Drosophila melanogaster: one gene and its partner. The protein of the gene in region 1 interacts with the protein of each later gene in a pairwise test. Each region holds a gene or a part of one and is shown on either strand. Other genes may lie near its edges.

What was found.
Region 2: the proteins of CG14606 (region 1) and Ufd1 interact in a two-hybrid assay, tested with the Drosophila melanogaster proteins (one large-scale study listed by BioGRID).

What each region holds. Positions count from the first base shown.
Region 1 is NT_033777.3:7,208,868-7,225,070, reverse strand, and holds CG14606 (uncharacterized protein), read left to right. Parts: upstream 1-7,987; 5' UTR 7,988-8,052; coding exon 8,053-8,128; exon of another isoform or gene 8,129-8,190; coding exon 8,191-8,308; intron 8,309-8,367; coding exon 8,368-8,479; intron 8,480-8,557; coding exon 8,558-8,688; intron 8,689-9,213; coding exon 9,214-9,566; intron 9,567-9,629; coding exon 9,630-10,042; intron 10,043-10,137; coding exon 10,138-10,335; 3' UTR 10,336-10,732; downstream 10,733-16,203. Other genes in the region: CG14605 (uncharacterized protein), read left to right, coding at 5,604-5,713, 5,778-5,889, 5,950-6,080, 6,156-6,490, 6,674-7,086, 7,145-7,342.
Region 2 is NT_037436.4:11,118,913-11,133,408, reverse strand, and holds Ufd1 (ubiquitin fusion-degradation 1-like), read left to right. Parts: upstream 1-10,192; 5' UTR 10,193-10,360; coding exon 10,361-10,487; intron 10,488-10,544; coding exon 10,545-11,368; 3' UTR 11,369-11,427; downstream 11,428-14,496. Other genes in the region: CG32074 (uncharacterized protein), read left to right, coding at 1,089-1,421; nol (no optic lobe), read right to left, coding at 2,147-2,539; NaPi-III (Na[+]-dependent inorganic phosphate cotransporter type III), read right to left, coding at 1-314, 385-761, 2,860-3,456, 3,529-3,721; mRpL2 (mitochondrial ribosomal protein L2), read right to left, coding at 11,428-11,846, 12,003-12,468.

The DNA of each region.
Region 1 (16,203 bases):
TTTCCGCTCTCCGACTGGGTTTTATTCGTAGCGTTTTGTTGTTTCGGGCTTCTTGTGAATATTACTTAGATTGTTGCATATTATTCGTTATTGTTATTTATGTTGTCTCACTATGCTCGATTATTCGGTTTATTATTTGTTATGGGCTAGAGAGGGATCAGGTGGTAATGCACAGAAATCACGATTCAGTTGATGTTTTCGGTAGTAGCACAAAATCACTTCAAGCTGCTCAATGTCTGCACTATAAAGACGTCATTAGGGCGAAACTACCGTTTGGTAATCTCAAAGGAAAAAGGTAACCGATTTGGGACAAGTTCATATGAATGTTAACAAATAAACAAATTGGATATTGAATATTTGATTGCAGACTCAAGCTCGAAGTGATTTTGCTCCCTTGTTCGTGGGCTTAAATCCTTGATTCTTGAAAACTTCACAATAGATCCTTTTTAATTAATATTAAATATTGAATCACAAGCGTCCTTTTAAAAAATGTTTTGCTCCTTTAAAATTACGTAAACGTTATCTAAGATCTCAAGAGTTTGAAGTTTTGGCACAAAAAGCACTTTATTTTTCTTAAATTTATCACATCAGATTGGTTGAAAATACAGTAAGAGCCAGAGCCAGACGAACAGAAGACGTCTTCACCCGTACGATATTCACATTTGAATGTTTCAATTGGCAAATGCGGCGTCCAACTTTAGTAGCTGAGCGGCCCGCAGACTCGAGCTCTGTTTAGCGAAAACGCTCGCAAAGCCAGCGCAAAGACAGAAAAAGCAAAACCACTCATCGCCGCCGAACCGGACGAACCTACCGCTTCACGAAGATCGCTTCCACATCTTCCTCAATTCCCAAAGAAGCCCGAAGAGTGGCCCCAATCCAAAAGCAGCTACAAAGTAAAACAAAAGCAGGGCGTCTTTGCGACCGGTCCAGCGATCAGCTGATCGCCGCGATCTCGAGAGGGGCGTTCAAAGACCGAAGAGAGGAGCACAAATCTTCGGGTGCCGATGAATTTAACAGGGCCAGATCGGCAGAAGAAAAGCTTAACATTTCTGTTAAGACCATGTAAATGTTGTGTTCGTAGCTTCTATCTTAGGAATTTAATCAGCGCATCATATGTGTGAAATGTGTCTATAACGTCTGCTTAATATTAAAGAGGGTTTTTTTTGGCGAATATCTGTTTTCAATTCTGGAGAAAAAAGAAATTAATACAATTATATATAGCTATTCAGTTTAGCATAAGTATTGGTATAAAATAGTCAAAAATTATTAGAAAATGTTTTGAGTACATTTTGGATTTAAGCTGTATGCACAAAAGTGCGGCAAAGTTGAGGTTATGCGATGTCATCATTTATACAGAACCTCCTTAGTGTTCCTGTAAACTAATTACACAATTTAAGTTAAGTATTATTATTAACTTTAACGATTTCCTTTCCATGTTGATATGTATGTGTATCTCTTTATACATATACATCATTGCGTATACGTAATATTTGCAAGCCCTCAACTCATATGACAGCTAACAGGATTAGCCTCCTTAAAATTGTATTCCATAAATTGCAAGCAATCGAATCGATTTCCGACAATCAGCAAGATGACAGTTTGGAAATCCATTAGCCTTTAATAAGGAAGGGGAAGCACTTGTAGGGCTTTTGGACTGGAAGCAGGGAAGTGGATCGGGAATGGGCCGGTGAATCGTCAGTGAAGAGTTGGTCGATGGCTCGATCGCTCGTGGAAGGCATAACAAACAAAATCGCAAATTAAAGATTCGAAATGCTCGCAGTGACGACTTTTTGACTTGGGGCGTTTCTTGGCTTGTTTCTCGGCTTCTATTTTCTGGCCAGCCGCCAGACAATGGAGCACAGGGGAGACAGCTGAAGAGTTGACAGTGGACAGTTTATATTATGATTTTGGGGCAGCGTCTTTGAAGCCCTCCAACTACCAACTCCTAGCCAGGAGTTGCATAATATCGTTGTTTGATTTTCGCTGAATTTATCTGCGTCTCTGTGGCTCGGATGCGACGGCTGCTTCCTTCTGCACACGAAGGCAGATGCAGATGCCGATTCATTGCGCCTGCGATTATGGATTCGGTGTAGCAAAAATGCTCAAATAATGGCAGCCGCAAATATTCCCACGAATCTCCCAGCCATGAGGCATCGCGCTGGCAACAGTAGCTATCCAGCATTGGATCACCGCCAATTGCTGGCGGTTCATGTAAAATTAACATTTGATTCTATTCAAAATCAGAAGTGATGGTCGTAATCACCATCCAGTGGCGCTTCTGCGGCTTAACGTGACTTTAATGGCGGGTTGATTCTGGCTCCTAACTGGTTAGTTTCTTTCATTAAAAGATATTGACAATGTTTTGTTGCTTGCCCCTTGCGAATGACATTGAGTCTGGGGCTCTTCTCATTAAAAATCGAGCTGCATGCAATCATAATAAATTGCCCAATAGATAACTAACAAACGATCTGACAGCTATAAAATCATAAGTTGACGCACGAAAAAAAACTTTGATTATCCATTTAATTGAAGGACGGGTTCTCAATTGAGTAGATTTAAGAATATTCCAATTAAAAAATATTTCAAATAAATCAAAAAATATTACCAGATGAAAAGGGATATAAAAACTTTAAATGGATGCATACTTCAAAATAATTGAAAACTTTATTGGCCATAGAAAGACGTATCTGTATAAGTCAAGGACTCAACCTTTTGCAGGAAAAATCAAATCATTGCCACAACTATTTAATTTTGTAAGTCAAATCTTAACACTCCCTTGGTGAAACTGTGCACATTGAGCAACAACCTTAAAAGGTCGTTTTTCCATTCTGTTGAAAAGTAATTCAGCAAATTCGGTCGGTATAAGTAGAGTCGAGAGCCCGGGTAAAGTGTCAAATCATTGTAGAAGTATCTAAGAAGCCATCTAGCCTATATTTAACCCCAAACTATCCATCACAGAAGCATGGATGGTGGGCCCTCGTGCAATTGCGGCGTTGCCTTTGCCTTTTGTGAATTGAAAAACCATTTAACTCCCGTTAATTTTAACGCCCGTTTTCTATGCCAACTCAGTTAGATTGCCACACAGTCGCCGAGCCGAAAACAAAAGCGAGAAGCAACCGAAATACGTAATGCAAGCGATAATTATTGCCTACAGGCCACCAAAAACCTCTCCGAACAACCAGCAAAAGACCTACCTCCCCCCACCCAAACGGAAAAAATAAAACACAGAAGCCTCTGTGGCCTAGTCGCGCAGCTGATTGAAAAGCGAAGAAGATTTGCATAGAAACGTGCGATTTTCGGCATGGCTAGGGGCCCCAATCGTCTCGGTCTCAGTCATGCTGGGCCACCAAGAGTATCTGCTGGATACTCTGGGTGATGCACTCGCACATGGCTCTGTCAACGTGCCCGCCAGCCTGAGAACAATACTAGCTGCCATCAATTACTCATCCATTCATGCCGTCATTCATTTGGCATTCGGCTTTTGGCCAAAGCCTCTGTTACCTCGCGCGAATGCAGTAGCCACATTTTGTTGATTTAATTGTTAACTTTTTTTTGGGAATAGCTGTCTGATTTTTTGGGCACGGCTTCTTTTATCTTTGTCCAATTTGCTCACATTTTTGGCCCTTTTCCATGGGAGGAGTCGCTGAAATTATGTTATATGTGACTGGTGAGGCTGCTTTTCATATTATTATTTTTTTTTTTTTTTTGTCTAAACCCACATTTGTTAAGATCAATGCTGAAGATAGCCCCATGATTAATCTTCGCAAGCTATGTTTTGTGTAGCCATGTTAAATGTTTTATGTGAAATACAATTTATTAAACATAAGCTTTTATGTTCAGAATCCTTGAAAGGTTCTCAGACTTTCCAAATTTTTTGTAGTACACGTATTTACCTTGAAATCAAGAAGATATGCAATATGATAATACTGTAGATGAATACGCATCTTAATCGGATATAAATTCACATTTATTTATTAAGCTATGAGAAATGCTCCACTTGCTCTTTATAAGATTTTATACATGATAGAATTTTTGGTGCACCTACAATTGGCTGATAGTCACTAGTCCATAAATGACATCAATTTATGTTTCTTTCAAAACATATATAGTATAAGTATAAGACGTAATTCGTTAAAGCCGCAGATAAATCACTCTTAATCAGACAATACAATAAGGTTAGTTAACTAACCTGTTGGAAAGAATAGAACTCCAATCTCGCCAGCATTGAGTGCATCATCCATACGGAATGTTAGCTAAACCAGATAGGCGGGTGAAAAGTAATGGTAATGCCCGAAATCTCAAGTCCCGAGCTTGTCTGTGCTCTGGTGGCCAATTTATCGCCACTGACAGCTGAACAAACGAAAGTGATATCTTAGCATTCGAACGTAGTGAACAATTGTGTGCTAATGACGAAAGACAAGCGGTTGGCCACCAGAGAAGCGAGCATAGGTACTTATTGCCTTGGTTGTGTCAAAGTGCCGGACTGCACAGCATATAATATGGTCACGGACTGCAGGCCGAGGACTGCAGATGCAAATGACACAGAAAAAATTTGATATTTTTTATTGAGCATTTTACAAACGGCACAACAAACCTCAGGGCATGACCTCCGACCGTGCAGAGCCCCAGCCACGAAACCCGACGACGACGGAGTCTTCCAAAAGGAATCACGATGGGCCCAATCGTTTTTGTGCATTAAATTGCAACCGAGATTTATGTAAGCCGCGTCCAAAGTTGCCCAGCTGGTAGCGCAGGAACCCCTCATTATCGATCGATATAGGCGCCCAGACGAGACAGTCGATGAGAGACTGACTGCCTCACTGAGTGGGGCCAGTGGAACCGCATATAATAACTTGATCATAGGAAAATCATTTATTGTGACACGATCGCCAATTGGAAGCCGATAAACTTTGTCTTGCAAGGAGATTCTCCCCCACTCGCCATTAGCTTGTTGTCATGCTGTTTGATTGCCCAGCTTGTTTGCCTTTTCCCTCCGCTGATTAATATCTCTGTGGGGCCTAATTGTGCCGAGATAAAATAAACACAGTTCCGCGAATTTCATGATTTTATTATTTGTTTGCTCGACTACTTCGGTATCATAATCTCTATGGGTAGAGCATTTCCTCATCCACTTTGCTGCCATTTGGGCTATGAAGTAAACATAAGATAAAAGCGAATTTCATGCGTTTGCGTTTTTTTTTTTGCCTCTATTAAGGGGTTTCACCACTCTAATGATCCAAAAAGTGACCGGAATCTATAAACTACTATAAAGATCTAAAAACCTATTGCCCAGTCATTCCAAACATGAGTCATATTTACATTGTCATAACACTCAAACTGAATTATTTGTTTTGGTTATTCATAGGTCAGCTAGTAAATTGTGCGGTTCTTTCTTAACATAGGAGTAAAGCTGTCAAATCGAGGGAGTCCATTCTTTATAATATGAAGAATATAATGCTTTCTAGTGTTAGGCAACGATAGAATATGAAAATCTGTAGCAGACGCAACCGCTGGCAGTTGCTTTCCACCATGATACGTGGGTAAGAATCCGGTGGTCTGTTTGATCAATCGCTGATACCTGATGATTTTTCCCAGTGTGCATTATGTCGTTGACTCATGGAATATCCCTAGGATGGTTCTCGCCCACTCTGCCCACTCTCATCTCCGACAACAGTCCAATTGGCCATCCAATTGACATCAGCGAGGTGAAGTGGTATGTCAGCAATGGAAATAGTGAATTTAGGTGTAAATTTAACTGGCACCATTGAGATTTCCAGGATCGGTGCTTCTTTCGGAATTGGGTGTCTTATTTGTAATATGGTAATTTGCGTTCCAGTCTCGTATTTCGGAATTAAGAAGTGCATGTACTTTGTGCCCCTACCAAATATCGTAAATATAACTTTGCCTTGGCTTAACGAGCTTCCAAAATAGCACTGCAATTCTTTACAGCTTAATTGGGTCTTGATCTACTTCGCAAGCAAATCACTGTATTTTTATGTGTGTCGCGTCCTTTTGGGAATTTCTGGTGGCACTTTGGTAGTTTGCTTTCCTGTATTTATCGCGGAAGTATCTGATAATAGGTAAGTCATTCCAAAGCCAAACTACTTGCCAAGTCGGATAATATTCAGACTAGTTTAACCACAATTTTCATCAAGCGTTCGTGGAACTCTGGGCTCTTTTTTTATGATGACACTCTGTAGTGGCATAACAGTGGGATTTGTGTTAGTATATTGCCTATCCTACCATGTGCTTCCGTGCGTCGTCATTTTCCTGCCCATTCTATATTTGTGCCTCATCATTCCCCTTCCTGAGCCACCACAGGACCTACTGAAACGGGGTCATGAAGAAAAGGCCGAAAAGTCCTTTTGCTTTTACAAGAACTTATCGAAGGACCCAGCGCAACAGGACGATAATAAAGCTGAATTTGACAAATTGCGGAATAAAGTTCTCGCCAGCGGCATAGCTGAAAAGATTACTCCTGCTGATTTCTGTAAGTTTCAAATTGATAATACATATAATGACCAATTTTTGGAAATTTTCGATTTGATACTATCTTGTATTCAATATGTATTTGAAATATAATACATTTATTTTAGTATTATCATTATCATCATTATTATAGAAACAAATGTTCACCTTACAATGACAAATTTGTATCTTCAATTCAATTCAGTTAACAAGGTCTCGGGAAAAGCATTTGGACTGATCGCCGTTTTACTGCTCTCCAATCAGATGTCGGGATCCTTTGCCATCTTCAACTATTCGTCGACCATCTTCGAACAGCTCGGTAGCAGGATGGAGCCCAATCTATGTGGCATATTTCTGGGTGTTGTGCAAATTTTTGGTTTGATTAGCGCCGTTTTGCTGGTGGACCGCGTGGGTCGTCGCCTCCTTTTGATCCCATCGCTGGCCGGAATGGGTTTGGCTGAGCTGGGAGTGGGTCTGCTAAAGTCCTTTGCTTCGCAGGACTTTTTACACAACAATGGTTGGATTGCACTTACCCTAATGGGCATTGTGTCCTTCACGGCGTCAGCGGGCATAGTGGCTCTTACCTTTGTCATTATAGTTGAGCTTCTGCCCTTTAAGGTAAGCTCGGCTTCGTTTATTTGTTAAAGGATTTCACTTAAAACTCATGGCCTTGCAGATTCGCGCCCCTGGCATCTCCATCAGTATGTGCGGACTCAGTTTATCCGTATTCATTGCCCTCATCACTTATCCCGTCCTGATCAACGATTATGGAGTGCATGTCACAATGTTTGTGTCGGCGAGTTTCTGTCTACTAGGTTTGGTAGTTCTGGGAATATTTTTGCCTGAGACCAGGGGCAAGAGCATTACCCAATGATGGGCTAATTTCTGATAAGTGTTAAGTAGAACCAGTACTTATAAAAATTCACGTAGTCTAGATAAGTTATAAACAGCCATAACAAATAAAAGAAAGTGTATGTCTAGATTTGGAATAAGATATTAATTAAGTTGAATTCATATTCCAAAACACCATGGAATCTCTTGGAGTTATTTCCTAATAAATGTCTTAGTTTTATAATCTTCCTTTAGAATAAAAAAAAGAGAAAATGTATAAAAATTCATAATAAATGTGTAAATGCAAATAAAATCCAAATACTGTTTACAATGACTTCGCCAATCTTAAGCAAATATTGTCACCTTACTCATACAAAGTTATGCAAATTTACATAGACTTATTGCTGCTATCCAACAGTTCAACGGTAAGATTAGCCTGACTGCCAAGTGTTTTTATTTTTTTTTTTAATTTACAGACTTCCCCAGACCTCTTTAAATGGGAGCGCTTTGCATTAATCAGCGGTACTACGCTGCGACTACTTAAAACTTATCTAATCTGCAACAATTTTACAGTCGTCATTATTGTTTACGATTGTCAGAAGATTGGAAAGTTGGCTTATCTGGCGTGATTTCCACTACATAAACTCTTGTCACTCAAAATAAAAATCCTCAGTTGGCACACGAGCCGCCAAGTGGTTGATTCGGAATCCAAAAGCGAAACATTTTCAGGAGTCCTAAATTAAATTAGGCAATATGACTTATGATCCATCGCAGAAGTTAAGTGTTTTTAGTGTGCGGTACCGATGGCAATTTATTGCCACCATGACTGGTGGGTGAAAATAGAAGGAAGGAGCCACAGTAGAGCATTTAATAAAAGTTGACTAATCCCAGTACATATTATGACACTGACCCATGGAATTGCCGTGGGATGGCTGTCTCCCTCTCTTCGACTGCTCGCATCCGACGAAAGCCCTTTGGGGGATCCCCTGACCATTACCCAGGCATCCTGGTAAGCTTGATACCCTTTCAGTGGAAATCCCTTTGGTTGATGTTTTTTGATGTTCTCAGGGTTGGATCACTTATCGGCCTAGGCTCGCTGACCGGCAATATAATCTTTGGACTGCTACTCGATCGATTGGGCCGTAAAGTGTGCATGTATTTCCTGGCCATACCCAATATGGTAGATAAAGTTCACATGTTCTTTAAGGGGTTTCCCAAGAGCTTGAGTCACTTCAAGGCTTTCTTTTAAATTCGCTAGATCTACTGGATCCTTATCTACTCCGCCCAAGACGTTACGTATCTGTATGCTGGTCGATTCCTGGCGGGAATGTCCGGAGGTGGCTGTTACGTCGTCTTGCCCATATTCATAGCTGAAATAGCCGACAATAGGTAAGTCGCGTCATTTTTCTAGTGACTGACAACATTTCGGATTAAGGGTAATCTATTAATTATAGATTATTTCAAGTTTTACGTGCAATGATAAGCTCAGACTACGTTCATATATTCAATTATATCGGCGCACGTTTGTCTACGTAATAACGATTAGATATAGGTCTGGGAATTATTGAATGATTGGAGTGAATTACTTGGAACTTAGCAAGTGGGGAAAGAAATCTATCTAAGCCATTTCTTTTTATATTAACATTTAACTTGAGTGTGGTTGCGAAAGGTCATTTGCAGATTTTAATAAATTTGTGCAGAAAAAATATATTAACTGAATGTTTATGTTCAATTTTAGTTTTATTCAATTTTTCAAATCATTTTGGCATCATTTTTGTCGATTGTCAATATTTAGTAGATATTTATCCATTCATTGGTTTCAGGTCGTAATAAGTAGTTTGAATGTAGGATGATTTAAGTCCAAAACATTTATTATTTTAATATAGACTTAAATACAATGCATACTAATTTAAGCGTTCGGGGAGCGTTATCGTCCATGGCCATGATGTACGTTAGCATCGGCATGATGGTTGGCTTTACATTAGCCTCGTATCTCCCGTACTATCTGATGCCGTGCATTATCGTTGCTCTGCCGGTGGTGTTTATGTTGTCAGTTATTGGCTTATCGGAGACACCGCAATATTTGTTGAGACGAGGGCGCGATGACCAGGCCGAGAAGTCTTTCTACTTCTACAAGAACCTGACACCACCCACTTCCTCCGACAAGGAAGCTTCTCAGCATGACGCAGCTAAAATTGAGTTTGACACATTTCGGCTTCAGGTGCTCAGTGGCGGCGTCACCGAGAGCATTTCTTGGCGGGATTTCAGTGAGTAAAATACAAGTTATTTTTACCTACGGTCTGATTAAATAATTGTCTCTACTCCTGCAGTTAACGTGCCTACACTAAAGATATTCGGCCTCATCTTTGTACTGATCATCTGCAATCAGCTGTCAGGGAGCTTCGCCATCTTCAACTACACATCGCACATTTTTGCTGAGCTAGGCAACAATCTGGATCCAAACACCAGCACCATTGTGGTCGGAGCTGCACAGCTGGTGGGAATCTTCAGTGCTGTCGTCCTAGTGGACAGACTGGGTCGTCGTGTTCTGCTCCTCACCTCAATGGGTGGAATGGGTTTGGGTGAGCTGGCAATTGCTCTGCTCAAGTGCTTCGCATCGGATGAGTTTCTGAACCAGAATGGATGGCTTCCTTTGGTGATCATGTGCCTTGTGGCCTGCATTGCTTCACTAGGAGTTATAGCCCTGATCTTCATCATCATTATTGAGCTGCTCCCAGCTAAGGTGAGTGATATGAAAATGAAAATAAAGTTAATTGGAAACAGGAATTCTCAAGCTGTAGCTTCATCAATCTATCTTCTTTTCCTTACCAATTGCAGATCCGCTCCATTGGCACCTCCTTGAGCATGGCCACATTTAGCGGATTTATCTTCGTGGCTCTAAAGATCTACCCCACAATGATCTACGATCAGGGCCTGGCTGCCACCATGTTCATGTCGGCGGGCATGTGCCTATTCGGATTCATTGTCTTGGGACTGTTTCTGCCAGAGACCAAAGGAAAGCTGATGACGCACTGATGACATCAACTTCGGGCCCAGCGGACACGCCACTTGGTTGCTTTTGTTGGCGGTGTGGCCCATTGCATAAGCTGCGGGATTCAAAATGCTCCCATGTCAAGAGTACTCACTCAATAATTTGTGGCACAATGGCGGCATCGGCTCATTCTGAAATCTTGAACTTAATTCAATTTGTGAGCATTGCGGTTTTCTTTCGGATTTCTGTACATAGAAATTTAATTTAACAATTTGATTGGGAGAAAGTCTCGGGTCTGTGATCTTGTGTTTGATAAGCGCGAAAATTGTAAATGAATAGGCTTAAGTCACCCATAGCTTTTACTTAAATAAATTTGTATTAGATTTAAAAACAATTAGTATTAGAATTTAAAAACAATTAATAGTTGTTTAAGGAAACTAGATTTGATGTATTTGCCTTTTCTTCGTTTCAGTGGTTTTGCCAAATCCATTCCTGCTATCATACAGTTTTGTTCGCCAACTAAGTGGGCTATATTACGCAGTGATAAGCCTGCGCGATGTAACAAGAAAACTCTTTTTCTTAGCCTCTTTCCTACGATAACTCCGCAGTGCAAAATTAATGAACTCGCAAAAGCCTAGAAGATAAAGCCAGCTGGGGCAAAAAGCCAGGCAGCCGAGAGATCCAAAGAGCCAAACAATGACTCATAAATTCAACACAATAAAAATTATTTATTTTGCTTCTACGACGGGCACTTTTCGACGGGCACTGCAAATGCAGTTTCAGTGCAAATTAAGCGCTGCAAAGTGAGCGAGGAGAAAAGAAAATTTGATCTCTATGACAGGACACACAAATCTCGCTCAGATCTCCAGAGACGATGCCAGCTCAAACAAAGCCCAGTTGGAAATGGAGTTGCTGCTGGAGCTGGAGATGGAGCTGAAGTCGAAAAACCTACAGAGCCACAAATCTAATGCTCACATTTTTAGTGGGGGGAGTTTCTTATTTCGGGAGTCCATCCACAACCGCATCCACTTACCCACCGACGTTGCATCAAAATGCAGTTTCATAATTTTCACACGTTTTTCTGTCACTCACTGGAAATGGGATCTAGTCGACCTGCTGACAGGCGGAAATTTGTAACAACTCCAACTTAGCTGCACTTATTGCAGTTGGGCTAAGTGCAAATGTGGCGGCAGACCGCAATTAGCCGCTGCTGATTAAGTTGATAATCAGTCGGGCTGATGGGTTGAGATGGGATGGGATGGGTCAGCCCTGGATGAGTTGTCGGAAGTCTGTGGTATGGTGGCATATACCTCAGTGTGTGGGCCACTGAACTGTTGCAATCACTCCCGCCGAATCGAAAGAGGCCGAAAAGTTGGACAAACAATCGCGACTAATGCCAGCAATTGCTCATTGTTGCGATTACGAGCATTTGATTTGTGGCAACACGGATGCCAATTGTTTGGCTTTGATCCGCTGCAATCGGCTGAAAGAAAGCCGGGTGGGCAATCCACATCCATTGTCTGCCCTGCATGACCATTAACACGCAATTTTCCATTTGACCGAAAAGTCAGCCAATCTTGTTGCTGTTCCACGGTAGCAACTCCAATTTCGGCCTCCATAACTCACAATTAGCGCCAAATGCCGGAGTTCCACTCACCTAGTGATCTCTATTGATAACCAAACCGAGATGACAACGTCGCAATTGCGGGTGAAATTATTTCTCGATTTATTTATTGTGTTTTTGCGAAAATATTGAATTCATTATTGTTTGGTCTTTGAGTTGATATTGTGCGTTTGGGGCAGTCGATTTGGTAATTGTGAAAAATGGGTTTAAATATTTATATGCTCTAATTTTGTGAATGGAGATTCGGGCTTACCGAATTCCGCATTTCTTTTGATCACGAAACTTATACAATCGCTGGTCTTCAATGATTAGGTTCTTTTTTTCAGGGAGTTTGCATAATAGCAGATTCGCAGCTCATTGCCCTATAAAAACTAAAATAGTTTGGACCAAAGTTGACTGAACTTTAGACAAAATAAAATACACAAACACCATTTGCATTTTAGACGTAGAAATACAACGAAAATACACATTGACATTCTTCCAAAAAACCTGACTTGTCGTGTGAAAACTTTATGGTAAATAAGGCGGCGGCTGTCAGCAGAAGTTATCTAAAAACACCTGAAAACACCTCACACTCATATATTAGCCATGATTAATTGAAAGGTCAGAGATGGTTAGGTCAAGTGAAGTGCGTGAAGCGGAGATAAATAATTTCATATTATATTATATATTCAGATACCAAGACATCAATTCTAAAAAGCTGCATTCAAATTACTTGTGACTTTTTGGAAGGTATTCCCAGTAAATCAAAGAGACCTTGTCAAGCAAAAGGAATCCACAAAGGATTAGGAATTAAATAGCAATTTATAAATGCTAGAAAAATTAATTAGGCACCACACAAATTAGGTACAAAAACATATTTAATTAGCGCTTCCTGTCAGTGGAGCATTTATTACCCGTCTGCCAATAAAATAATTAATAAGAGTACCTTTGCCCCGCCAACATCGACTTCAGCATCTTAAAAAGGTCATTAAATCATCCTCAACTGACGGTTGCCAAGACAAAGCCATCATTATTTCAGAAATGCTGGCCTGGCCTTTAAACATGAATTATAAATTTATGTTAGAACATTAATTTAATGCCTCCGCCACTTGGACGAAAATTTCGCCACATCTAAGATTTATGAAATCCAATGAGACCTGTTATAAAATTAGCCACGATCAGCAGCTAAAAGAATGGTCAAGTGTGAGGATAGGATGCGAGGGCAAAAACACCAAACACGACACCAAAAACACAAAGATGAGGAGACCTTTCTATTTTCTATAATGCTAATTTATGTTAGCCGGGACAGCTTTATTTCTATAATTATTATGTAAGATCGTGCAGCCACCATACACGTAGCAGAAGAAGAAAACCTATTAATTAGAAATGATCAAAAAAGACGAAACATGACGCAATTTTGCGGAATCGAAACTATTATATAACTTCTGACCCTGTAGTTTTAGGCTTTGGATATGGTTAATTCTTGTTGGCAAGGTAAAAGTGAAGTAGAATTAGAAGTATCAGGTGATGACTGATTGATTTTAAGAACGTATGTAAGTGGTGAAAGTACTAAACGAGGGTTAAAAGAAAGTGAGTTTTAGCTAGATTCTTTGTGCTAGGTGACTGGTAACTTCCAACTACTTTCAATATTAAGGCAAATAAACGAGTTGTAAGTATCTTTTCAAGGCAGAAGAAGGGTTCCAAGGCATCGTTACCTCGGACTGAAGCAATTATGTTGAGTGCTGCAATGGCGTTGTAAGTGTGCCTGCCGTCGACAGTGGCAAGTTGTTGTAAATTTGGTTATAAAACAAACACAAATGACATTATTCGCACGAAGACAGGACGGCAAGTTGGCCGAGCTGCCGTTGCAGCTGTTGCAGCACGACTTTCTTTGGATCTTCGCAGCAACTGCCACAACTGCAACTGCAACGGCAACAATCAATTCGACAGCAACGCCGACGACATTTGCGCAGGCGCAGGCGCCTTTGTTGCGCTTCAGCTCCAACTTCCGGAAATCACGCTGCTTGTTGTAATAATGTTTTAGCTTTTCTCGGCTCTCTGCCTTTTTACCTACGGTTTTGGCCAAGGAATGGGTCAGGTCGGATAGGTAAACGTAATGTGCACGCGAGCGAAATTACAAAATGCGCACAGTTAACGTAAAATTTGTTTGGCTAAAGTTGTTAAATTTTTTCAATTATGCAAAAATAAAATTTTAACACAATCTTGTGGTGGCGGTGGGTGAAATGAAGACATGAAGGCAAAGGCACGAAGCCAAAAGCCGAAACTAGTTGCTAGTTGCTACAACCCATCGAAATGGGTTATGAAACTGGGCAGGCATTCACCTCATCTAAAGGGCAAAACTTGGCAACGGTTGAAAGGTAACGGGGAAGTCCCAGATTACTGGCCACATCTAGAAAAGAACATTTATTGATATAGCTTACGGTCTAAAAGAAAGCCATGACGAAAGTAAGAATTCATACAATTCAAAACTCATAGCAACCATATCTAAGTGAAACATTGTAATACAACAAGCGAGTATTTTTACGCAAAGAATTAATAACTATGCCTTTGCATTTGATTTGGGAAAATTGTTCAGCCATCTGGTCAGCACTTAATGATTTAGTCAATAAAGATTCCCAGAATATGGCTACGATTGTGCAGATTATAATACCTCAAATAAAAGTGAGAATATAGCAAAATACGGTAGAAAAGCTAATACGAATTAAATTGATTGCCGACTACCGAATATACGCCAAATTGACACCTTGATTCTTCCTCAGACCTGGTCGCTCACCAAGTAGGTGGCTAATGTCAGACAATCGTTTGGCCCTTCCTCGGCACTTAATTCGTGGCGCAGAGCCGCGCGCTGCAATTTGAAAAAAAATTCTTTTGATGATACATGATACAAGCGAGCTAGAAGAGCAACCGAAATGGCCTTCCCAAGTGGCAATCAATTCTGGCCGAGCTGTGCGACTCCAGAGCCGGGTATTCACAGCCCGGGGGCATGGAACACTCTGCACGTGTTGACTCCCAGTTGAAGTCGATGATTTAGCTCGCCTCGTTACCTCAACGCCATTTGACCCCGCAGCAATTGTGGTAGCCACGATTCGTCGGCGGTCTACCAGACTGCCACTCGGTGGCAGTGATGACAAAGGTACCAAAGCTCTACCCAGGGTACTGCAAAAAAAAAATAGCAAAATTATAACTAAAATCCAAATTGAAGAAGGAAGCTCCATTTGATTAAAATCAGCAAGTCGCGCCAATTATCTTTCTTGTACGATTTTTGCAATAAGAGTCGAAACTATCACCTTATGGCCTAGATTATTATATATATTATTTTTCATTTTTTTTATATGAATTCGTATGTATGCAATTTTTATTATTGTAATATTATATCATTATTATATTATATATATATTATATATATAAATTATTGGCATGTTTCCTTGATCTTTTAGACTGAAGTACCAATATTTGTGGCAAGCTACTACGCATCACTGTTAGCAGTCGAGGGCCTATTCATTTCTTTGGTTATCAGAAAGGCAGCGATCGCAGCAATATGTTTTCTATATGCCTCATTTCTGCACAAATCGCTTGACCTTAAGCGTTGCTGTAATTTATTTGTCGTTGTCGCAATTTCCCACACACACACACACACACACACACACACACAAATCGACCCGATGATTTTCCCGCTCGGGTTTTGTTTCATTTTCTCTAGAAGCTGCAAACCGTATTACGTTGGCTCTAGCAGTTTAGCTTTGTATTTTGTAGCTTATTTTTCTCCTTTTGGGCCTGGGTTCAGTCGGTTAGTGAGGTTGCATTTGTAGGTTATTGTGCCTGCCCTGGCATCTGGAGGTTATGTAATGTCTCCGCCGCTGCCATTGTAATGTTCGCCGTAGCTTTTGGTTTTCCTCAGCTCCAGGGTGAGGTGGCCTTATCAGTTGCGGAGCGTCAAACAGTGGGGGCATTTACAATGTACAACTCTGATTGTATAACTGAGCATTTGCAGTTGGCTTTTAATTGATTTTGGCCAGCTGATTGAAAGCATTTTGCGGAAATCGAATCTATTTGCCATACTTGCCGACGAAGTTCTGCAATTTGACTTCCTGAAGTCAAACAAAATGCACGATAATACGACTATAATCCTCCCGTGTTGAGAAATTAGTAAGTAGTAAGTGCCCGTTTATGTAACGGTTACTACGTCTTCCCCTTTTTAGTGTCCATATAATCAAATTAAAGCCTCAATTTCCCTAGCATGCATGGGCGCACAGTCGACTGCATCATGTATAACACTTCCTGACTA
Region 2 (14,496 bases), on another chromosome or scaffold:
ACATCATTGCCGCCGTGCGCAAAACTGCCAAATGTGGCTGTCAGGATCTGCAGAAACGAGAAGAGCATTGAAATCTCCGGAGTCTCCTCGGCGCCACTGGTTCTTCGTCCACCGCCCGTCGTTCGTTTCAGCTCCTCCTCCTGCTCATTCAGCGCCTCCTTGCTCTCGATCAGAGGAACCTTGCTGGAATTGGGCGATAAAGTGGAACTGATCATAAGATCAAGGCTGCCGCCGCTCTCCACCACTTGAAGGTTGTTATTTGTGGCTTTGGTCGATCCGGTTTCCAAGTCCGTGCCAATGGAGTTCGTCTTGCTCTGTAAGTGGAAAGAATCGAAGATTAGGCAAAGCAATCGAATTAGCTAGCTAGCACTAAACAGGTAGTACCTTCTGCTCCTCCTTGGGCGACTGCATCCGCTTGAAGCACTCCTGCAACTTGCGTCCATTTTGCTGCTGCTGCTGTTGTTGCTGCTGCTCGTCGATAAAATTCAGACTGGTAATCGTCAGATCCGTGTTGTCCAGGCTAGCCTTGCCCAGCAGATCCTCAGCCTTTTTGATCAGCTGCGGATCGATCTTGTACTCCTCCCCAAGCGCATTGTTGTTCTTGGCCGCCAATCCGAATGGAGCCAACTTAAAGGTCCTCGGCGAGTTGTCGCTCAACGAGACCAGCTCGGTTATTTCTGCGATGGCAGGCAGTGGCTTTCCTTCGCTAACCAGCGACAGGGGACGACGCTGCTTCTTGGGACTTCCCGACGGGGAAGATTCTGGAAGAAGAATTCAAAATTTATATTGTTATTAGCCAAACATTTGTTGGAAGAACAAAGGCCCCATTATTTGGTTAAAGTTTAAGTCGCATATGGAATAAGGTTTCTAATTTTTTTTATGAAAAACCAATACAAATTAGCTACAACCTTTGTATAAATAACCTAGATCCAAAAAACTTCCACATGGTGAATTGCGACTTAGCACGCACAAATAAACTGTTAGCTTACGCAAACAAAGAAAACCTCTTCCACTAATTTCCCTATAAATACTTAGGCTTCAGCTAAACAAGAGCACATTAGATTCAACACCTAAAGAATCCATTAGAGATGCGTTCGCAGCCAACTATCTTCCTTGCCATCGCGGCTTTCGTTTCGACTGCCTGGGCACTGACGATTGATCCCGCCACGGTCACTGTTTCATCGGTCACTATTCCATCGGTCACTATTCCTTCGGTCACTATTCCGACCACTGATACAGACACGTCCACCACTTCGCCTTCGGCAACCGGAAGCAGCACCACCGTGACTCCCACCACCAAGAAACCAAAGAAGAAGTCTACCGTTGTCCACTACAAGAAGAAGACCCAAAAGTCGAACAGACGCCGCAAGTTCCGCCACTCACGCGATGGCAAGAGGAAGAACCGATCGAGTTGGGAATAAGAAGGACATCTCGAACACATTTTGAATACCGCAGACCCTGAAGATCTACATGAACGACCCACAAGAACAGTTTTAAGCCAATTGCTAATTTACTATTATTATATTGTTATTATATTACTTATTAAGAAATTAAATGCTTGTTTTATAAAAGGAGTTTCAAGATTTTGTCATTTAAAAGTAGAATTACTAAAATGCAAGCTAAGGTCCATTCATTCATTTTTTTAAATATCTGAACCCGTATACACGTATATATCCCGTTCATAATCTATAATTTGATCTTTTCATCTGATTTATAGCAGAGTTGTGTCTTAAACTGCTAAATATTAATATTTCCTGACGCTTGCCCATTTTAGTTTAGAAAAAGTCAAAAAATGTAGTTAACCGCAGAAACTAAAGTTTGTATCAAAAATGCAATGCAATAAGCATTAAGTCTCGACTGTCAGATACCCGTTAAAAGCAAAACTTTCAATCTTTGGAATGACTAGAATCTTCATCCTTAAATCAGTTGAAGTTCGACTAGTGATTCAGATCGAGAATATACTTCATAGGGTCGAAAACGATGCGATGTAATGTAGGCATTCTTTTGAGAATATCATAAAAAGTCATTTAATCTTGAGGGTAATACAGGAATAAGAATAATAGAAAATGAAAAGTTTGGGAACAAAAGCCAAGACATGTCTGGCCAAATCTGTTATGCCTGGGGTATTCGCAATGGGGTCTCTACTTTAGTTTCGTCGGGATCTCTTCTTGCGGTCGCTGCGCTTGCCTCCTCGCGAGTGGCGGATCGTGCGGCGTCTGCCCGGCTTGTGGACCTTACTTTTGTGGTGGACAACGGTCTTCTTCTTCCCACTTCCTTTCTTGGAGGTGGGAGCCACGGTGGTGGGTGCAGTGGTGGGTGCGGTGGTGCTGCTTCCGGTTGCCGAGGGCGAAGTGGAAGTGGTGGGGGAGGTGGAGGTCGTGGGAGACGTCGTGGCTGGATCAGTAGCCGGAGGTGTGGTGGGATCAGTAGCCGGAGGAGTAGTCGGATCAGTGGCCGGAGGAGTGGCAGGATCAGTCACTGCCCAGGCAGACGAAACAAAGGCCACGATGGCGAAGAGAATAATTATCTGCGATCGCATCTTGGATTATATGTAGTGCTCTGCTTGATGTGACTATTGTACGTAGTCTGGATGAAACCAGAGTATTTATAGTAAAATCGGTGGAAGATGTTTCAGACGCGTTTTGCTCAAGCAAACAATCTTCTACATTATTGTTTGATCACTTGCGATTGTTAATTCGAGGTTGTTCAAACAACAAATTAAGCATATTTTTGATGCGCAAAGATTGAAATAGATGTTTGTGTTTGTGAATATCGTGTTATTTTAACGAGAATATCCCACTTTTTACCTATATCTACATAAGAATCGACATTCGCTTTACGTATCACTAAATAACTCACCCACGGAGTCCTCGAAATTAAACTTGACAGGATTCTCGGCCCGCAATCGTTTGGCAATCTTGCGCCGCTGCAAAGGCACCACTACCAATTGCGTAAGCAATGCCACCAGCAAAGAGAGACCAAAACTGGCGGTCAGTGCTATCCAAGTGGGTATGTTGTCCATGTAGAGCAGCTTGGGCCCGTCCAACACAACGCTGATAACGTTGATGAAGAACGTTACACCGTAGAAGATGGGCAGCGATCGAAATCCGGCCTTGAGCGGCTCCTGGGCACGTAGGATGAAACGACGAATGGCCAGGAAGAGCAGAATGCTCACAATTCCACTCAGCACCGGTGAGATGAACCACGATCCGACGATTGTGCCCAAAGTAGACCACTTTAGGCCCTGTACACCGCGCGCCACTAGCGAAAATCCAATGGTAGAGCCAACGATACTGTGCGTTCCCGAAATAGGCAACTTCAAAAAGGTGGCCACCAGCAGCCAAACGGCGCTACTGGCCAATGCGGCCACGCAGCCCAGCATCAGAACCTCCTCGGCGCCCTCGTATAGGCCAACTTCTAGGATTCCCTTGCGCATGGTATCCGATACCTTGTAGCCTGCCGGAATATGAATATAATATCAATACAGTTGGCAAATTAAATTCTAATATTTTGCATTTATTTTCTTACCAATCAAAACGGCACCCGAAATTTCGCAAATGGTGGCCAGCACGCATGCCTGCCGGATGGTCAGAACACCGGAGCCGACACTGGTGCCAAATGAGTTGGCCACGTCGTTGGCACCGATGCCAAAGGCGAGTACGAAGGCGATTAGGAATCCGATGACTACCATCCAAAGTAATTCCGGCGCAAAGCTCTCCATTGTTGCCGACAATTTGGTTTTCGGTGTTCAATGTTAGTCAAAACTCTTCGGCTCAAGCCAATCTCTAAACTCTCTCAACTCTAACTAAATACTGATTTCACTTCTTGCTCCTCGAAAAACTAAACTCAAGTTGTATTTTATTGTATGGTGCGGATTTAACTGGGTGGATGATGACTTGAGTTGTGCAAAACAATCGTTTGAAACTTATAAAATACAAAGACTACGTAACAAATGAGGGTCGAAACAAAAATCCAAATTGATTAATAAGTGAGAAATTCTTTTCAAATATTCTCTAAACAGCCATATTTGCGCTTAAACTTCATTGTCGTTATTTTCATAATGAAAATGGGGCAACAATTCGCCGCTTGGAACTGCGAAGATGCGAGATACTTAGGTGACTAATTACCCTGCACTATAAACACTAAACCCTTCGGTTTGGAGCCTCTATCTTCAAATGATGATGCTGATGTTGTGATGATCAGCTCTATCATAAATTAGGCAATAAATAAATAAAATCCTACAAATAACCCTGGGCAGGACAAAAAAAAACACCGAAACGAAACGAAACGAACAATAATCCAAATTAAAATCCTTCTCGTGCGCTGACAAATTCCTCCTGCCAATGGAATTCGATGCTCAGTGTCGGGAAGTATTCACAGGTATTCCACACTCCAAACTAACTCCACTTGTAGACCAGTTTAACTTCTGGGATATCTTCACTAGCAATTGTTGTTTTTTCGTTCTAAGATTGAACGAATGCTGTTGATGTTGTGGAGTAAGTGGATAGTGTGTTGTTGTGTGTTGGTTTGTTAATAATTAATTATAATAAGTTTCTTGTTATGTTGAGTAGGAGTTAAGAGGTGTCGAGTTGGTAAACTGTAAAACAGATATGTATATTTCCAAAATTTTTTCCCAAAACAAATTAGATAGAAATTATTCTCACCTGACGTTTGGGGTAGCACAGTTGTTTCAACCATAGAGAATTATTCACCATGTCTGAAAATGGGCGAAAAATAGTTATTGCAACTCAAGCAGAACTCAGTATCACTTGTTTTTTAACTTAAGTAAACCACTAGCAAAAAACTGAACCTATCCGACTAAGCACACAAAACGATTTGAGTAAAATAACTGATTCAATACCAAAAATCAAAACGAAATCCAGTTTAATCTGCTGAAATTTGGTACCTAAAATCACTCTGATTTCCAGATACATTTTCAATACCTTTCGACTTTTAGATACTTTTTAACCAGTAAAATCCAGCACACAGCCATTCGGTGAGTTTTTCAAATGAAATCCAATTGTTTGTTTCTAATTTTCATTCATTTGTTTCTTTTCCAGATTCAACTAGACCCGCGTGGTTCGATCTTTTTCAAATGAAAATTCGCAATTGAAATTGTAATTGCCGCTGGCTGTTGTTATTGTTATTATTGTCCAGATTGTTGTCATCAAATGCAAATGCAGCAAACAATTCGCTTTCATTGTTTACAATAAAGATGACTGCGTAATTTACTGATGTAACTTAGTGTTTTAAATAAACTACAGTGGATGAAATCCTAAAGGATTTAAATTTCTTATATGGTTTTAATGTATATATTTTACTATTAGCAATTAAAGGAATCCTAACCCATTAAGTTTATCAACTTTGTTTTCGGTCGTAAAGTAACTATAAGTGCTTTTTATGAACCATGTGAATTGACATATGTACCAAACACATCGTAAACTTTTTAACTATGACCTTATGGGATCCTTAAGAAACTGTGGACTAAACACAAGAAAATAGCATATTCCTTTCCCACCGGCCAGCAATACCAAGACCCACATTTGACCAAGGCAAATAAACAAAGAAAACCTCAAGAAAACCCACCCACAAAAGCAAGTGGCAAGGCAAATGACGCCAAGAGGGCGGCGGTGGTTGGTGGGTGGTGCTGGGGCTAGAGGTCATAGGGTTGAGTTTAGTAACCAGGACAAAGGCTGACACCGCGACTTGGCAAGGTCGCACCACGCTTAATGCCGACGCTTCGTTGCGAAATTTCCATATTTGCGTGCTTTGTCATCGCTTTAGCCCCAACACCCAACACCCACCACCCAGCACCACCCACCGGGTGCACATTTCCATTCCCACACAATGGAAATGGGTAGGAAAAAATCATGAGTTTGTGGTAATCACCACTCCAATTTAGCGGCGTATTTTGAACTTTTGAGCTATAAATACGCAAACACGCAATTGTGCATAGTTTGCCAGCAAATGCAAATGCAAATAAATGTTTGTTGATTGTGAAATATGTATGTGCAATCGATTGAACAGATGAACAAATGGAAATTTATAGTGATGTTATTGCTTGCCGGTTAATACAAAATTGTACGATTACTTATGCACAAGACTAACTAAAAAATGGAATTTTAGTTGATACATTTAAATTATTTGAAAGCGCGCCTTTTCATATTTCAATCGAATGGCAGTAAATCAATTTAAGCCCATTGGATAATTACGGTTATTGCCTGGCAGGTGGGCAATAATTTTGTAATTGGAATGAACCGTTAGGGCCGAACAGATCGAAGTTCAGGGGGAAGGGGGTGGCTGGAAGGCGGGTGAATTCTACTGCCATTGCATGACATGGAAATGGAATTAAAATGGATTGAATGCCAATTGCAAAACAACAACAGATGGCACAGGTCTGAAGTGCACTCGAAACAAATACATAGTAAAAGTTATAAAGAAGCTCCTTTTAAACTATAAAGGTATAAAGTATAAAGTATAGAGTATATAGAGCATTAGAATTTTTAGCTTTACATTCAGATGGTGAAATTCGCACAGCGCACTTTTCAATTTTCTACAGTTATTCAAGTTACTTATGAATTTGAACGTTCAAATCGCTTGATTTTTTAACTTTGGAACACCTTATCCTTCAATATATTATTTCTTTCACTATTTTCCAGCAGAAACTTGTGCCAGTTCATCTATTTACACTGATTATGTGCACTTTCTTTGAGTTGCACGGATGCACCGGGCGCGTCACTGGCGACCTTGACATTGCCGCCTATCAACTGCAATTGCAACTGGCTCTGCAAACAGTAAACTGCTATTAATATTGATTTAATTTGCCGCAATGTTCCAAGGACGGATGAGGTGAAAAAACCGACGGACAGGGCGAATTATCGCGGCCCAAAGCGGGCATTTTCTGCACGCTCAGTGAGTTCCACTTGTTGTTTTCCTGAAGCCGCCAGCCAGTGAGTTTGGGGGTGGTTGCTGCCGCAAGTTCAAGGTCGCACCACCGTCACACAAATCCGGGCTAACTCGTTTCAAATTAACGCCACCCGCTCCAGTGAGTGTCAAACTGTGCAGATGAATCAGCCCGTTTTCCATTCAATGGGCTAAAACCAAATCCAATTGGAAACGCGCTCAGGTGTGAAAGGGGATGCCACTCTAGTAATTAACGAATAACTGCAATAACCCAAAAACACACGACGCTGGGTTGTGCATGTGTGAGAAATTAGAGCTCCAGGAAGTACAATAACTTTAAAAGCATAAGTTGCACTTAAGCTATTGCAATGTATGATAAAAAAAAACATGATTCTCGTCTTTTTCTACCCAATTGTTTAATTGAAAATATTTAATTTTTTAAACATACTTTAAGCAGACTTCTATTACAAACTTTCGCGCTCTCTTCACACACATTAAGTTCATATATCTTAAGTGTTTAGCTGTCGTTATTATAGAGCGACCACTGTACGTGTGCCAACGTTTCTAGCACGTGTGACTGTACAAGTTCTGGAAGTAAACAAATGTGAGTGCGAAGCTCGTTTGGCAAATTTTACCTATTGCTCTTATTCTTTCATTCTCTCTCCATTCGACGACCTTCTTGGCATTCATAAAAGAGTTTAAACTGTGAAGCTGTGTTGTTTTTATTGGGTTTTTTCCATCACACGCGATCCGAAAATGGAATCACGAGTTTGTCGGCTGATATTCAAAACGTGAGCACAAAAAAAATATGAATAGAACGCTTCATCGAATTTCACATATGAATGTATGAACATATACATATGTATATACATACATATATGTATGTACATATGTTTGTGCTGTGTGCCTATAGAAATTCCACTCCCATCCAATACATTTTTTTGGGCACTTGGCAACCGGCAAATATGGCTATTGAATATTTCTGGGAACTGCTTGAAATCGATTGAATTACTATTTTCAGTAGTAAAAAGTAGGTAAAGCTAGGAAAGCCACTTGAAAATACATAATATTGAAAGCTAAGCAGTTATTTTAAACTATTTATACATAGTTTAATTGGGTACTAACTACCTCATGATAAATAAATCAAAGGGGTAGGTGGTTTATCTAAGTTTCTTTATAATTCTGAAGATATTTATATAAGCAGGTGTTCTCACTTGCATGAATAGAATCTCGTTGAAAAGGGGACATTTCTTATAATTTCTGAACGGAAATCCAGAACTTTAGTTTGAGAGACACTTGACCAGGTGCCATCCGAGCGAAAGATGCATTGAATCGGAATGGGAATCGGTCCACTTTGCACTCACACTCACTCCGTGCGGCGCCGAGTGTGTACACGCTATGACCTTGCGGGGTTGCTGCCACCCACCGCCCACTTTGAACCCAAACCAACTCATTCATGACCCAGAGCAATCCAAAACGAAATCCACGCCGTGATATCACGTTGTGCTGAAAACAAAAAATGTATAATTTCTTTGCTTGACGTAAGCGCAAAGATCTGATGTTCGGAAATTACGAAAAACGAAATGTTTTTTTTTCTTCGAAATTCTGCAGCATGCGTATACACAGATTTTTGGGAATTTTGCTGCTTGTGTCGTTGGGCTATTTTAAAGTTTAAATGCTTATCGGAAAAGCTGCTCCATTTCGTTGGCTGTGCGCTTGTTAAATTTAGTTCCCAGACGCAAAAACTGTACGTACACAACAAGATGCCGGAGTTTTTCTTCTACCCTTAGTACTTTGCTCATCACAGTGCGACTTGGCTATAAACGATTGTATTCTAATTTGAATTTTCAAAAGAGCAGGCGATTTCATTTCACAATATTTCTTTAGCTTTGCAAAGCGTAAGCAAGTGTCATGATAACGAAAAGTGGATTTTCCCAGAAATATTTATAAATAATTTTGATAAGTTTACACAGAAAGTAAACTAAGTTTTTAGCGGAAGTGCAATATAAACAACATTTTGATTCTCGAAAAGAGGTTATCTTTAAAATCAAAAACAGAAATCGTTGTGAGTCCACTTATAAGTAAAAACTTTTGGAAACTGGAATATGTTGGGCCATAGAGCGCTTATTAAATGAATTTACAAAAATTTGCAAGGATGCAACTGACGCCTTAAGTTAGGCTTCATTATTTGAAGCCAGCTTGTGAGTCACTGGAATTTCATATTCTCTCGATTTTAATACGTTTTACATGACAAAGACAAAAGATGGGTAAATTTCACAATAGAGGGGGGTGGGGCTCTTTGTTGTGGGGAAGTTAGGGCGAGAGCGAAAGAAAGGCGAAGAAAGTGGGGAGCATGATGGCGAGGGGAGTGTCTGGAAGCTGCCAGAAGAGACAAGAGAGCGGGAGAGTGCGCATCCTCTCGCTCTTTTCACCTTCTGTTCGGTGTTTCTGTTGTTGTTCTTGTTTTTGGTGTGGCTGCAGCTGCGAAGCAACAATAACAACCACAACAGAGACTCGAAAACAGCTGCACACGAAAACGGTGGCTGTCAAACTGTTTTGCAAAATTTAAAATGTAACTGTACTTGGCAAAAACAATACATTTTGCTGTATTTCTGTATGTCGTAAAAGATCTTTCGACCTGGAAGCTGGAGAACACTTTTTCCAGCCACTTGGCCACCACCCCGCCTTTGAACAAACCAACCAATCGATTGGCCAGCTTATTGATTTTTCTATTCGAACATTTTGCATTTGTTGCTCGTTTCGGTCTTTTGCTTAGTGTGTTTGGTTCGAAAAAAGTATTGGCAATCATGTGGGCATCGACATACACACTTTTTTTTTATCACACCCACGCGAAAAACACGCGGCGCCAGCCAGACTAAAAGGATACAGGCAGCATATCCTGCACACACACACACACACGCGCGCACAAAAAAGCTCGCCAGGATCGAGTGGTGCAGTTGACCAGCAAACCGCAGCTGCTGACAGCCAATTTTGAGTAGCGGAAACAGTTGGAGCTGCTGCCCCGAAATGGGTACTCACTTGATCAGCAGCACTTTTTCGAATCAATATACCCGTCTATTCAATTTTTTTTTAAGCGGGACGAAGTCGCGCGCAACCACCGGCTTGCTGGGTTTGTTAGAGATGTGCCGATAACTCGCCACTGCGATAGCTCGAGTTGCTACTTTTTGTTGTACGCCACGCGCTTGGGATTTTAGCGAAATATGCGTGCCACAACTTAGCTTGTGCCGCAACCCCACACAGTGCTGCCACCTGTGGGCGAAAAAGTTACGTCTACATGGTGTTCTGGTCACACTGCCCCCGCCGTGACAAACAAAATAGAAAAAAAAATAAAACAAAAGATAAAATTTTAGCCTCCCCCCTTTGAGAAATAAAGGGTCATTTGAGGCAGTTTAAATCGAAAAGAATCCATAGGCACGGAGAGCCCAGCACACATAGAATGTTCCACTTCAGCGGCTTCAACATGATGTTCCCGGAGGGACGCAATTTTCATGCCAACTACAAGTGCTTCTCCGTATCCATGTTGCCAGGAAACGAGCGAACCGACGTGGAAAAGGGCGGAAAGAGTGAGTTACGAGTGTAGGCTGGACAGAAATTATGTGAACAACACATTCCATCCACAGTTATTATGCCTCCCTCGGCGCTGGACACGCTCACCCGCCTGAATGTCGAGTATCCAATGCTGTTCAAGCTGACCAACGTCAAGAAATCGCGATCCTCGCATGCCGGCGTACTCGAGTTTGTGGCCGACGAGGGCAAATGCTATCTACCCCACTGGATGATGGAAAACCTGCTGTTGGGTGAGGGCGACATACTCAACATCGAGAGTGTCTCGCTGCCGGTGGCCACCTTCTCAAAGTTTCAACCGCACAGCACCGACTTCCTGGACATCACCAATCCCAAGGCGGTGCTGGAGAATGCATTGCGCAACTTTGCCTGCCTCACCAGGGGCGATGTCATAGCCATTAAGTACAACAAGAAGGTCTACGAACTGTGTGTCCTGGAGACAAAGCCCGGCAATGCAGTCAGCATCATTGAGTGCGACATGAATGTGGAATTTGAGGCGCCAGTCGGCTACAAGGATCACTCCGAAACGCAGGCATCGGGCTCTGGGCAGCAGGGTGCTGCTGGAACTGTTGGCGGCGAAATCGCTGGAGCCACCAACGCCATACTCGAAGAGGTCGTGGAGACCTTCAAGGGTTCCGGCGTACGTCTCGATGGTAAGAAGAAGAAGGAAAGCCAGTTGGAAACGCCGGTCGTTAAGAAGGTGCTAGCCCGCGGCGTTCCAGACTATGATTTCCAGTTTGGACTCATCCGTTTCGATCGCAACATTCGGCCTATCAGTGATAGAAGCCAAGAAGATGATGCCGTAGCTGGCAATGCGGACGCTTCCGATGCGGAGAGCTTCCACGGCACCGGTTTCTCGATGAAGAAAACGCGCAAATAGCTCTGTATCTCTAGTTCTAGTTATATATTGTGTGACACATAGAAATTAAAGGAAAAACCTCACAGGGGCAGCGTCAACTTGATGGCCTCCTCCTTGGGCGGAGCCGGTGGCGATATGGTGGTCATGGGCGGCAATCGGCGTATCTTGCGTCCGTGTTTGCCTTCCTTGCGCTTCCACAGACCGGAACGTGGTCGATTGCCCATCTCCCGCATCCGCTGGGCACTGCCCACATGCTCCTTGTTGTGTTCCGGGTTGGACAGGCGACCAACCGTCGCCATGCAGGTGCGCTGGAAGGCGAACTCCCGCTTCGAGGGCAGCTGCACCACCACCTTTTCGTCGAACTTGCGCAGAATGGTGCCGAAGGTGCCGGCGGCATGGATCAGGTGGCACATCTGGCCGGGGTTCTTCTCCAGACAGTGAATGCGTGTGCCCACGGGCAAGGCGCCCAATGGATAGGCATCGCCTTCGTTGGGACGCACTATGGGATCATACAAAAAAAAAAAATTATATTGGCATAACTGGTTGTTTCAGAGCCAGTAAAATTTCTAGATTCCATGCTCAGTTTAAGACTATACTCAGAGGATTACTTAGAAAACGTTTAATACTCCCGATGAGTAACAGTAAGTAAATTTACCCGGAATCCTAGGAATAAAGCGCGAGGTCTTGAGGATATCGCCAGCCTTCATGTTCTCGGTGGCCAGGATGTACTTCAGCTCATCGCCGACGGCAACCAGGGCCACTTTGGCGGTGCGACAGCCATCGCGTAGCACCTCGAGTACCAGTTCCTCCTGGGCGCCCTCCGTGGGACCATCCCGCACCCATTTAACCCAGCGATACTGCTGTTTGATGCCTCCGCCAATGCCCTTGGCCACCAAGCGACCGGAGACGGGATCCCGACCAGCCAAATGGGTGATCTTCAGCGGCTCAACGGTGTACTTCTCCGGAAAGTGCACGGTTCGTCGGAATTGCTGTCCGGCACCAGGTTTTGGTTTCTCCACCACTTTGGTTTTGCCGCGCAATTGCTGCAGAAACGCCGGCGCCGTGCGAAACGGCGTTTGTATAGTCAGCGTTGTGCTCAGCAAACGTGTTACACTTTGCATTTTCGATAGTTTTATTTGAAAAATTAAATAGAACGAAAATATATGCAAACTGTTACAAAATCGAAATGCGGCTGAAAACAGCTGTTACGCGGCGTTGCCAGACCACGAACGGGCCATGCCTGATTTCGGGCGCTAGCGTTGCCAGCATTTTGCTCGAACTGATCTCTTCTTCTTCTCCTTCACCGCGCTGAAGCAATAAGAATCGGGAAAACCGCATTAAAATCGCTGAAAAAGTGCACAAATCGGCTTTAAATTATTGCCCAATTACTAGTGTTACGTGCATATCGAGAGATTTCATAAATTGCAACAGCCAACGATTTTTTCCAACAAGGTACGCAAAATAATAAAAATAAACAAGACGAACAGAAAAATAATATACACACACAAACACGCAGCGAAAAACGTGTTGTGTGCAAAAAAAAAAGACTGAAAAAAAAGAACAACAAAAACAGTTCGAGTTTGATAACCAACGGCGAAAATATAAACAGCAAAAGAGAGAGCGAGAATTAGTAGTAATAAAAATCAATAGCAGAGTGAGCGGAAAATCAGCTTAACCAGCTAAATGGCATATAAATAAATATAAGGTTTTTATTTTGGAACACGCTCATCCAACACACATGCACACGCGCATACACGCACGCACACACACAGGAGTAAAGGTATGGGTGGCCTCAAGTGTGTGTACATATTTTGATGTTAGGTGGGAAAAAAGCGGGCGGCAAGTTTACGCAATCGCCGAGCGAAAAGCAAAGAGCAGCAGCTATACGTTGTGAAAAGTGTGCTTTTTGTGTGTTTACAAAGAGACAAACAAGACATCCGTCGTTTGTATGTACGTGCCTATGTATGTATGCGCAGGTGGAGTCGGTTGCTAGCTGAAAAATCAACGAGCGGCATTTTTTACGCATTTCCAATACGCCACATACATATATACGTGCGTCGTTTGCGCGTGTGTGTGTGTGGTTGTGTGTATTTTGGTGTTTTTATTTATTTATTGTGCTTCTCTTTCGTCGTTTGCCGTTACGAGTGATGTATGCATGTATGTATGTACTCGCCAAATCTATATGTGGCTGTGTGTGTGCGTGTGTTTACTTATATGACCGTATGTATGGGCGTTTGTTTGCCTTTTGTTGTTCTCGTTAATTTTATTTTGGTTTCGTTTTGCATGTTTATGCATGCAAGCTCGATCGATTTCGATTGATGGGTAGCCATGTGGGGCCTGCCAGTGCGAGAGTTCTCAATCCGTTCATGTGTGTTTGTGTCGCGAGTTCCAGTGTATGTGCGTGTGTTGGTGCCAAGTGGAACCAAACAAGTCAGAGAGTGGAGCAGTGTTGCCAACGTTCGTTAATAACCGCATTAAAAAAGAAGTCGCCTTTTTTTGCTCCCCCTCCGCCCCTTTGCCAGAGAAAACTCAAGATACAGATCGTTCTGCAAAAGTTTTGGTTGCCATGGAAGTTCAAGTCCCTCTGTGTGCACTTATTTTCTCCTAAAACACTCAAACAATGATGCATTTGCGGCGAATTCCATAGTTTGCCATTTGTTGCACAGGTGCATAATAAAGGGTTTTATAACTTTAATAGTGGTGGCTGGCAAATAGCCTGTTGTTTACATTCTATCGAAACGTGTTCAAAATCAACTAGTGCAAAATATGTAATTACTTTTATAAGTAGAACAACGTGTCCCTTTAATAGATATTTTTATAAATTTTAAAACTAATTTTAAATAAAATTAGTTGTTTAGCCGGAAAATGTGATCAAAAGTAAAAGGAACTAAATAAAGGTAACAAAAAAAAAACAACTAATGAATACCATTCTAGAAACATTTATGTTACATGTACATACATACACATGCAATGCTTCATTTTCGGGCGCTTTTCCTTCGAGTGTCACATGGACACAACTTTTTAATGCAGCTCTTTTCTGCTTTGAATGATTTATTCGCTATTTGTGGCATGTAATCGCCTGTTGGCAACACTGGCCGCAAGCTCAGTTTCGTTTTTGTGGAGAGAGGAGTTACCGATATAAGTGTGGA